2 linked regions of the Danio rerio genome follow. Each later gene encodes a partner of the first gene's protein in a complex. Links are inferred from orthologs where the notes say so. Each region holds a gene or a part of one and is shown on either strand. Other genes may lie near its edges. The genes, in order: cacnb3a and stac3.

The links.
Region 2: cacnb3a (region 1) and stac3 share a complex: the UniProt entries of both Homo sapiens proteins name them as parts of the calcium channel complex. The link is inferred for Danio rerio from reciprocal best matches to the Homo sapiens genes CACNB3 and STAC3.

Annotation. Positions count from the first base shown.
Region 1 is NC_133198.1:15,636,006-15,640,584, forward strand, and holds the start of cacnb3a (voltage-dependent L-type calcium channel subunit beta-3a), read left to right. Parts: upstream 1-1,713; 5' UTR 1,714-1,961; coding exon 1,962-2,042; intron 2,043-4,579. UniProt on the Homo sapiens protein: Regulatory subunit of the voltage-gated calcium channel that gives rise to L-type calcium currents. Increases CACNA1B peak calcium current and shifts the voltage dependencies of channel activation and inactivation.
Region 2 is NC_133184.1:263,376-267,752, forward strand, and holds the start of stac3 (SH3 and cysteine-rich domain-containing protein 3), read left to right. Parts: upstream 1-1,284; 5' UTR 1,285-1,432; intron 1,433-3,675; exon of another isoform or gene 3,676-3,767; 5' UTR 3,768-3,811; coding exon 3,812-3,828; intron 3,829-3,907; coding exon 3,908-3,986; intron 3,987-4,377. UniProt on the Homo sapiens protein: Required for normal excitation-contraction coupling in skeletal muscle and for normal muscle contraction in response to membrane depolarization. Required for normal Ca(2+) release from the sarcplasmic reticulum, which ultimately leads to muscle contraction.

The sequences.
Region 1 (4,579 bases):
TGAAATTGTTGCAAATTTATTAAAACTAAAAAAGCTGAATAATCACATGTAAATAAGTATTCACAGCCTTCGCCGTGAAGTTCTAAATTGAGCTCAGGTAAATTCTGTTTCCACTAATCATTCTTGAGAAGTTTCAAAAGAGTTCACTTGCAATGAATTCAGTTGATTGGACATGATTTGAAAGGGCATACACCTATCTCTATAAGGGGCCCAGGGTTGACAGTGCATGCCAAAGCACAAACCAAGCATGAAGACAAAGGAATTTTCTGTAGACCTCAGAGAGAGGATTGTCTTGAGGCACAAGGCTGGGGAAGATTACAGAAAGATTTTTGCTGCCCTGAAAGTTCAAATGAGCACAGTGGCTTCCATCATCCATAAGTGGAGGATGTTTGGAACCACCAGGATGCTTCCTAGAGCTGGCCGGCCATCTAAGCTGAGTGATCGGGAAGAAGGGCCTTAGTCAGGGAGGTGATCAATACCTCGATGTTTACTCTGTGTGAGCTCCAGTGTTCTTCTGTGGAGAGAGGGGAAATTAACAGAAGGACAACCATCTGTATAGCAATCGACCAATCAGACCTGTATGGTAGAGTGGCCAGATGGAAGCCACTCTTTAGTAAACGGCGCATAGCAGCCCACCTGAAATTTGCCAAAAGGCATCTGAAACGAAATTCTCTGGTCTGATGAGACTAAAATTGAGCTCTTTGGAGTGAATGCCAAACGTTACGTTTGGAGAAAACCAGACACCGCTCATCACCAGGCTAATAGCATACCTACAGTAAAGCATGGTGGTGGCAGCATCATGCTGTGAGGATGCTTTTCAGTAGCAGGAACTGGAAGACTAGTCAGGATAGAGAGAAAGATGAATGCAGCAATGTACAGAGACATCCTAAATGAAAACCTGCTTCAGAGTGCTATTGACCTCAGACTGGAGCAACAGCTCATCTTCCAACAGGACAATGACCCAAAGTACACCACCAAAAAATCAATAGAGTGGCTTCACAAAACTCTGTGAATGTCCTTGAGTGGCCCAGCCAGAGTCCGGAACTAAATCTTATTGAACAGCTCTGGAAAGATCTGAGAATGGCTGCAAACCATCGCTTACCATAAAGCTTGAGAGGTTCTGGAAAGAGGAAAGGGCAAAAATTCCCAAAATAGGGTGTGCCAAGCCTGTGGCATCATATTCAGAAGACTTGAGGCTGTAATTGCTGCCAAAGGTGCATCAACAAAGTATTGTGCAAAGGCTGTGAATACTTATGTACATGTGATTTTTCAGCTTTTTCATTTTTTAAAAATTTTCAACAATTAATTTTTTTTTCACATTATCATTATTGGGTATTGTGTGGAATATTTTGAGGAAATAAATGAGTTTAATCTGTTTTGCTATAAGGCTGTAAAAAAATGTGGAAAAGGTGAAGCACTATGAATACTTTCTGGATGCACTGCATAATATATATATATATATATATATATATATATATATATATATATATATATATATATATATATATATATATATATATATATATTCCTTTAAATAGGCTAAAGATTTCTGGTGACTTATGAGTTGTAGTTTGCAACATTGTATGGAAGACTAATATACATGATGTACAGTACAAGAGAGGCAAATATAGAATGCTCTGGAGAGAGAGAGAGAGAGAGAGAGAGAGAGAGAGAGAGAGAGAGAGAGAGAGAGAGAGAGAGAGAGAGATCATTACAAAACGCGCATGCACAAGAAACAGACACATTGCATTTGTCCACCTGTATTACTATCTTGATTTACGAAACCCAGCGCGAGGGAATTAATCAACGGCTCCGTGCGAATGCAGTCAAACAGAAGGCGGTTTTCCTGTTCAACCGTGATACTCTCTTCTTCCTCGGCGGTCATGTGTGTTTCGCATCGCTGTTTCTTCCAGTAAGCACCAATGCATGCATGCACCCGCCTCCCCTGCGCTCTCAAATAGATGGTGCAAGTAAAGATGTCCAAATCTTCCGCAGACCCTCTGTCTGGGGTAGAAAGCGCTTCTCAGTCGCACTATTTCCAGGTAAGACTTTTGGGGGGGATTTGTATACGTTGTCGCAAATGGTTAATTTGCTGCTACTTGTTGTTGAGCAGTCGTGCATTTAAGCGCTTCATATATCCGCAGAGGGCTACAGCTACACAATCTGCCCGTGTATAACGCCTTTATCGCGCTTTTAATCAGACGCGCGCAGTTTTAATGAGGCGAGATGTTGATCAAATGTGTTGATGCTTCTCCATCCGCCAAACTCACATTTCTTGTTTTTTTCCCCTCCGCCCTGAGATTTCACACCGCAACCGAGGCCTCATCTTTCGGGCCAGGCATCAGTAGACACAGTGTTCATTAAACAGTTCAAACACAGTCAATTTCTACTGAGTTTTGATAAACGGGGTTACAATCTCGTTCAATACTCTTATGGTGGACCATTGTCGGTCAAGGTTCTCACCTGTAGCCAACATCCGTCCATTGGTCACCTGTTTCTGCTTGAAATTATAGATTAATCTAGTTGCTGTGTTTTTAACCTGTTAGCTGGTAGGTCTGCGTTAGCTATTATTTGGTTAAAATAGTATTATTTAGTTCATGAATCTTATACGGATAGACCACTTTGGACTGGCATCAACACTGTATCAACTGGTCATACTAGTTCAGGAGGTTTTTTGGGAATTTATATGGTCAGTTAGCATCAAAAGTTAATCATGTTCCTCGGCAGAGCTACCATCTTAACCTGATTTTACAATACGGTCTCAAGGCAGTTTGTTAATTTTGACTTATTTTTCTATTTTGGGGAACTGGTGGCTACATTTTAACCAAATTGCTGTTAGTCAAGATGGTTAGCTTTAGAATAGACAAATTTTCTGTAAACTGAATAGTTCTGAATGGTTCTAAAGAAAAGAAAAAAAAACATCGTATGACGAAGACAAAGTACAGTCAGAATCTAGACTAATTTTGCTGTAACTTACACAAAATAGTTTTTAATCATCCTAATGAAAAACATCAGCTGACTAAAACAAAGTACAGTCAGAATCACTCATTAAAAGTCACTAATTTAATTTCTGTATGGTAGACCCTTACTGGTCAAAACAAAAGTCTCACTTGTGGCCAACACCAGTCCATCGGGCATCTGCTACTGCTTGAAATGATAGATTAAGCTTGTTTCAGTGTTTTTGAACATGCGAGCTGGTTTCTGCACACCTAATTTGGCTATTATTTAGTTAAAAATACTTAATATCTGGTCCAAGCTTGTGTGTAGACCACTTGACTAGCACCAACACTACCAGCTGGTCATTCTGGGGTTCAGGTGGGTTTTTGAGAAACGGTATATGGTCAGCTAGCATGTAAACAAAGGTTAATCACAATTCTCAACAGAGCTACCATCTTAACCTGGTTTTACAATACGGTCTCAAGGCAGTTTGTTCATTTTGACTGATTTGTCCATTTTGGCGAACTGGTGGCTAAAGTTTTAACCAACTAGCAGTTAGTCAAGAGGGTTAGCCTTAGATTAGACCAATTTTGCTCTAACTGACACAAATAGTTCTGAATGGTCCTAAAGAAAAAAAAAATTACATGATGAAGACAAAGTATAGCCATCTAGGGATTAGTATTGTTAAATAAAGTTTAAAAATCACTCATTCAAATCCCTTATGGTAGAGTCCATTGGTCACCTGTTCTTGCTTGAAATGCTATAGATTAAGCATGTTGCATTGTTTCCGAATATGCTAGCTGGATTCTACACACCTAAATTGGCTATTATTTGGTTCAAAAGAGTAAATATCTCCTCCAAGCTTGTCTGTAGACCACTTTGGACTGGCATCAACAGTGAACCAGCTGGTCATATGGGGTTCAGGTCGGTTTTTAGGAAATGGTATAGGGTCAGCTGCATGTAAACAAACGTTGATCACGTTGCTCAACAGAGCTAAGCTGATTTTACAATACGATCTCAAGGCTGTTTGTCCATTTTGACTTATTTGTCTATTTTGGTGAACTGATGGCTACATTTTAACCAACTAGCAGTTAGTCAAGAGGGTTAGCCTTAAATTAGACCAAATTTCCTGTAACTGACACAAAATAGTCCTAAAGAAAAAAACATTAGATAACAAAGACAAAGTAGAGTTAGAATCTAGGGATTGGCATTGATGAACAAAGTTAAAAAGTCCCCCATTTAATTCCCTTATGGTTAACCCTTATTTATATATATATATATATAACCTGTCTCATTTGTAGCCAACATCGGTCACCTAGCTGTTGTTGCTTGAAATACTATAGATTAAGCTAATTCCAGTGTTTTTGAACATGCTACCTCATTTCTATACACCCAAATTGGCTATTATTTGGTTAAAAAGAGTAAATATCTGGTCCAAGCTTGTCTGTAGACCACTTTGGACTGGCATCAACACTGTACCAGCTGGTCATACTGGGGTTCAGGAGGATTTTTGAGAAATGGTACTGTACATGATCAGCTGTTTAGTTTGTAATTAATTGCCAACATACTGTAAATCGCAAAATCACAACTAACATCCTTACCTGATTTTAGAATACAGTTTGTTCATGTTTGACTTACTGTA
Region 2 (4,377 bases), on another chromosome or scaffold:
ATCACATAATCATCATCATTATACATAAAAACCCAGAAAGATTTGTACACCTGAAATATATTACTGACCTATTTCTGGTATATTGTTGTTTTGATTACTCATATTGCTCTCATTTTCAGTTGCTTTGAATAAACGTGTTTGCCAAATGCTTATTGAATGTATGAATTGTATGTGGCTGTTGTGGAATAAAGCTGTAACAGCTGCCACAAGCCCCTGAACATTGGCGTAAATAAGCTTTTAATAAGCTAAATCCTATTTTCTGGCACTTGAGCCAGAGAGTCACAGTAATAGATGAGATGTGCTACTGTATGAATATGTCATTTTTGTTTTTTGAGATATGATGAAAGCTGGAAAATGAAGCTCATGTTCTCAATCTTTTGTTTAGTATATCCATTATTGTAAATTTAGCAATCAGTGTAGCAATTAGTGTCCTGGGTCTGCCCCGAGGCCTATAGGTAGGCGTTCAGGAGGCTTCTGAAACAGATGCCCGAGCCACCTCAGCTGACTTCTCTGGATGTGGAGGAGCAGCGGCTCTACTCTGAGCTCCTCCCAGGTGACAGAGCTCCTCACCCTATCCATAAGGTTCATTCCGCTGTGGCGACCTCTAAGCTGAAGGAAAATGAATGAATAAATTAATATATTTCCTGTGATTGGTCTGTACATGTTTGGAGGACCCCAAGGAACCTAACACATTTTTTTTCCCCAGGGCCAGCCCGAACACCAGCCGGTGACCCACTCACACCTGCGGCTTCTCCAGGATGGACGTCCAGCGTTCTCCAGCCTCAATTGGTCAACTGGTGAAGTTCCTCCTCTGTCGCCACTGTCCTGCTTGGTTTGGGACTTGTGGAGATGCACATGGATGGATTTGCTCTTCAGTGTTTGGACTCTCAGCAGTGAAGATTCAACCACACTGAACTGAACTGAGCTCTGAACACTGGACTGACACGGCTTCAGTTCACTAGAACTTCTGTGTTCAGCTGCTGCCACACAATCTACACTGTAGAAGAGCTGGAGTTTTATTCACTTGGCTAGAAAGTGCTTCTTCATTAATGAATTAATTAAATATATTTATTACTGTGTGACATTAGAGAAGTCATAATGTTTAGTAAAAAGGTGCTGTTCAGCTGCAGGCCTGCTGTGAGTGTGTGAAGGTCTGCATGTGTGCCTGTCTGTCAGAGGGACAGATATACAGAGAGACTCGTATTACTCTCCGTCATCTAACACCTGCTGAAAACACTCACAGTGACACACACACACACACACACACACACACACACACACACAAAGTGTTCAATCCTCAGTTCAGAGCAGTCTGGTTATTACTGAGTTAAGATTATCTTCTGTGCTGAAGCAAATATTAACTTATCTGTATCAGGGTCACACCTCACTGACTGAAAACTGGGATTATAGCACAGAAACACATCATCTACAGGTGTGTATGCTTGAACTTGCTTGTTCTGATGGCATGATTTAGTGGTTGTGTGCATTTAAATCTTTTCTATGTATAGTCTAGAAAACGTTTCTGATTTGTTCCTGTAGCTCAGTTTAGTGAGAGATCCTGAATTTGTTGGCCTCAAAAAAAGTTTCCAACTCAGATATAGAAGTTGTGTGTGTGGATTTGAGGATTTCATCATGCTCTCATGTGTACAAATTAACTGTGAAACCTTTTTGTGTTCATTTATTCCATAATAAACAGGTGTATGTAGGGTGTGACATGATCATTGCACTGCATTCGCCACCCTGAAATTACTTTATTTTCAATAAGAGAACCAGAAATCTGTCTCAACACGGAGTGGACATCCTCAGATTCCCAATTTCGCACTGCAAGGTCAACATTAGAAACACCCAGTGGTGGAAAGAGTACAGTAAAATCATGCTTAAGTACAAGCACATACTTGCCTAAAACTGTAGTGCAGTAGAGTAAAAGTGTCTGCTGTAAATATTACTCAGTATAGCTTTCAAACGTACTCAAGAGTAGGGAGTATTACACTGTGAAAAGCTGATGCGTTTACATGTAACTTGCACATGTGTGTGTGTAAACGTAAGATTCTGTAGTGCATCTAGTGATTGCCCAGCAGGTACACAATGTCATAAGACGTTAATATTAGGTTAGATTTAAGTTGTGATGTCGGGAAACCAAAATTCAGTTTCTAACCAGTGCAAATCAAATGACGTTGATATTTGGTTGATTTTAGGTTTTTAGAAAGTGACCAAAATCTAATGTCGCGCCAACACCTTAAACCAACATCACATTGACGTCACATACTGATATTATTTCATCAGGTATGGCAACCGAAATCCAACATCTGATAGACGTCATAGTGGTAACGTCCACACAACGTCAAGCTGTAACATCATTAGACGTTGATTTTAGGTTGATTTCAGGTTTAACGTTAGACATTGACGTTGGCCTGACATTGAGTTCTGACGTCAAACTGATTTTCACTTCCAAACAAAATGCACTGTCTCCAAGATGTTAGTGTACAAGGTCAATCTGACGTCATGTTGACGTCTTGTGCCTGCTGGCTGTTTAAGGCCATTTGGCTCATCATATAGTAAACATTTGCCATCTTCTCATCAGTGATGTGCATCTAAACAGTCTCTGGGTCAGTGAGTGTGAAGATTGTGGACATCTTCTTTTATGCACTTTAAATGCTTCTAAACAGTTTGCTGCAATTATAAATCATCTTGAGGTAGTTCATTATGAGGTGACTTACCTTCAGTGTGTGATTTGATCAGACAGGAACCACAGGACTGATCTCTCTAATCTCCATAGACAAGAAAAAATACAGTAGTGACTGCAGGATGAAGGAAATTAGTGGAGTAAAAGTACAGATACTGCAGTAAACGTACTCAAGGGAAAGTAAAAGCCCACATTTATAAAACTGCTCTCTAAATTACAATTCCTGAGAAAACTACTTTGTTACAGTAAATTGAGTATTTGTAATTAGTTACTTTACACCACTGGAAACACCTAATCACAGCGGCTAATATGTCAGTGATCATAGCACTTTACAAACATGTGTTTACAAGTCAGAATCTAATAATTATGATGATTTGTCAAGAGAGATATGAATACTCAGACCACTTCAGGAGGTGTTCTGATGTGCATGAGAGATGTGCTCTCGTTTAAAACCACATATTATGCGCACATGACGATCCACATTTCTTACAGGATGCTCCACTGACCTGTGGGGTTCCCCAGGGCTCTATTTTGGCCCCGTTGTTATTTTCCATTTGCATGCTCCCTCTCTGATCTATTTTGAGAAAATGTGGGCATCGTTGCAGGAATTACACACCGGTTTACTTCCCAGCACACAATTTAGTTTTTAATAGACGTTTAATAGACATCTAAGCATAAACAGCTTGGCTAAAACAAGACTAAACTTGGGCTGTCAGTGAAAATCTAATAGACATCTAAGAATAGCCCAAAACTAGACTATAGTCGTCAAGTGGACAGATTAGACAGACTCTATATGTGTAGTCCTTCATTTCTGTTTATTTGATGGCTAGTCTAGTTTTAACCTATGGACGTCTATTAGATGTTCAGCCCAAGTTTATCCTTGTTTGAGCTGAGATGACATTGTTTGGACGTCTATCAGACATCTATTAGACATCTTTTAAAAACAAAAAATGCTTGCTGGGTTGCTAGTGGTTAATGTAAACGCTTTTCAGAATCAGACAGATATCTGATCAGAGTAAACGCATGAAGAGAGCAGGTGTACACAAGCTGGAGTTTTCTTGAAGCTGGTGAGTGTCTCCTGCAGGTGCGGATTTCTGCTGACTGACTGCGTCTGAAGAGGCTGGACTGATGGCTCAATATGACCAGTGAGTGTTTGACAGATTAAACAGTCTTTCAGGAGCATTATATAAGATTACAGCTATCCTAATGCTCAATGTGTTCCAGACTGGAGGATAAAGACTCGCTGGACATCCACGATAACCCTCCAGCGCCAGAGAATGTGGTGAAAGAGGACGACAACACTGTACGTATGATCACCTTCTCTTATTAGCTCTCATTCAACACACATTTGTAAATACAGGAGTGAATTATTTGTGTAGCACAAAGCTTCCTGAAAACCCTATTCACAAACACTTGTCAGAACTGAGATATATTTAAATATGAACTGTTGTTTAACTTATTAAACTAAATTAATTAATAAATAAAGGGTGTGTGCTCCCTCATTCATAATCTGCATAAACCCACCTATGCCGGAAATCAAAATGCTCTGCCATCACTTTTGATTTGATTAAATATTAGTCATTTTTAAGCCTTGTTAAATTGAACTTTAGCTACTGTTTTTGCATTCACTAACATTAACTAATGGACTATTATTGAGTAGTGTTTTCAACGTTAGTTCTGCTGGGGCTTCATAA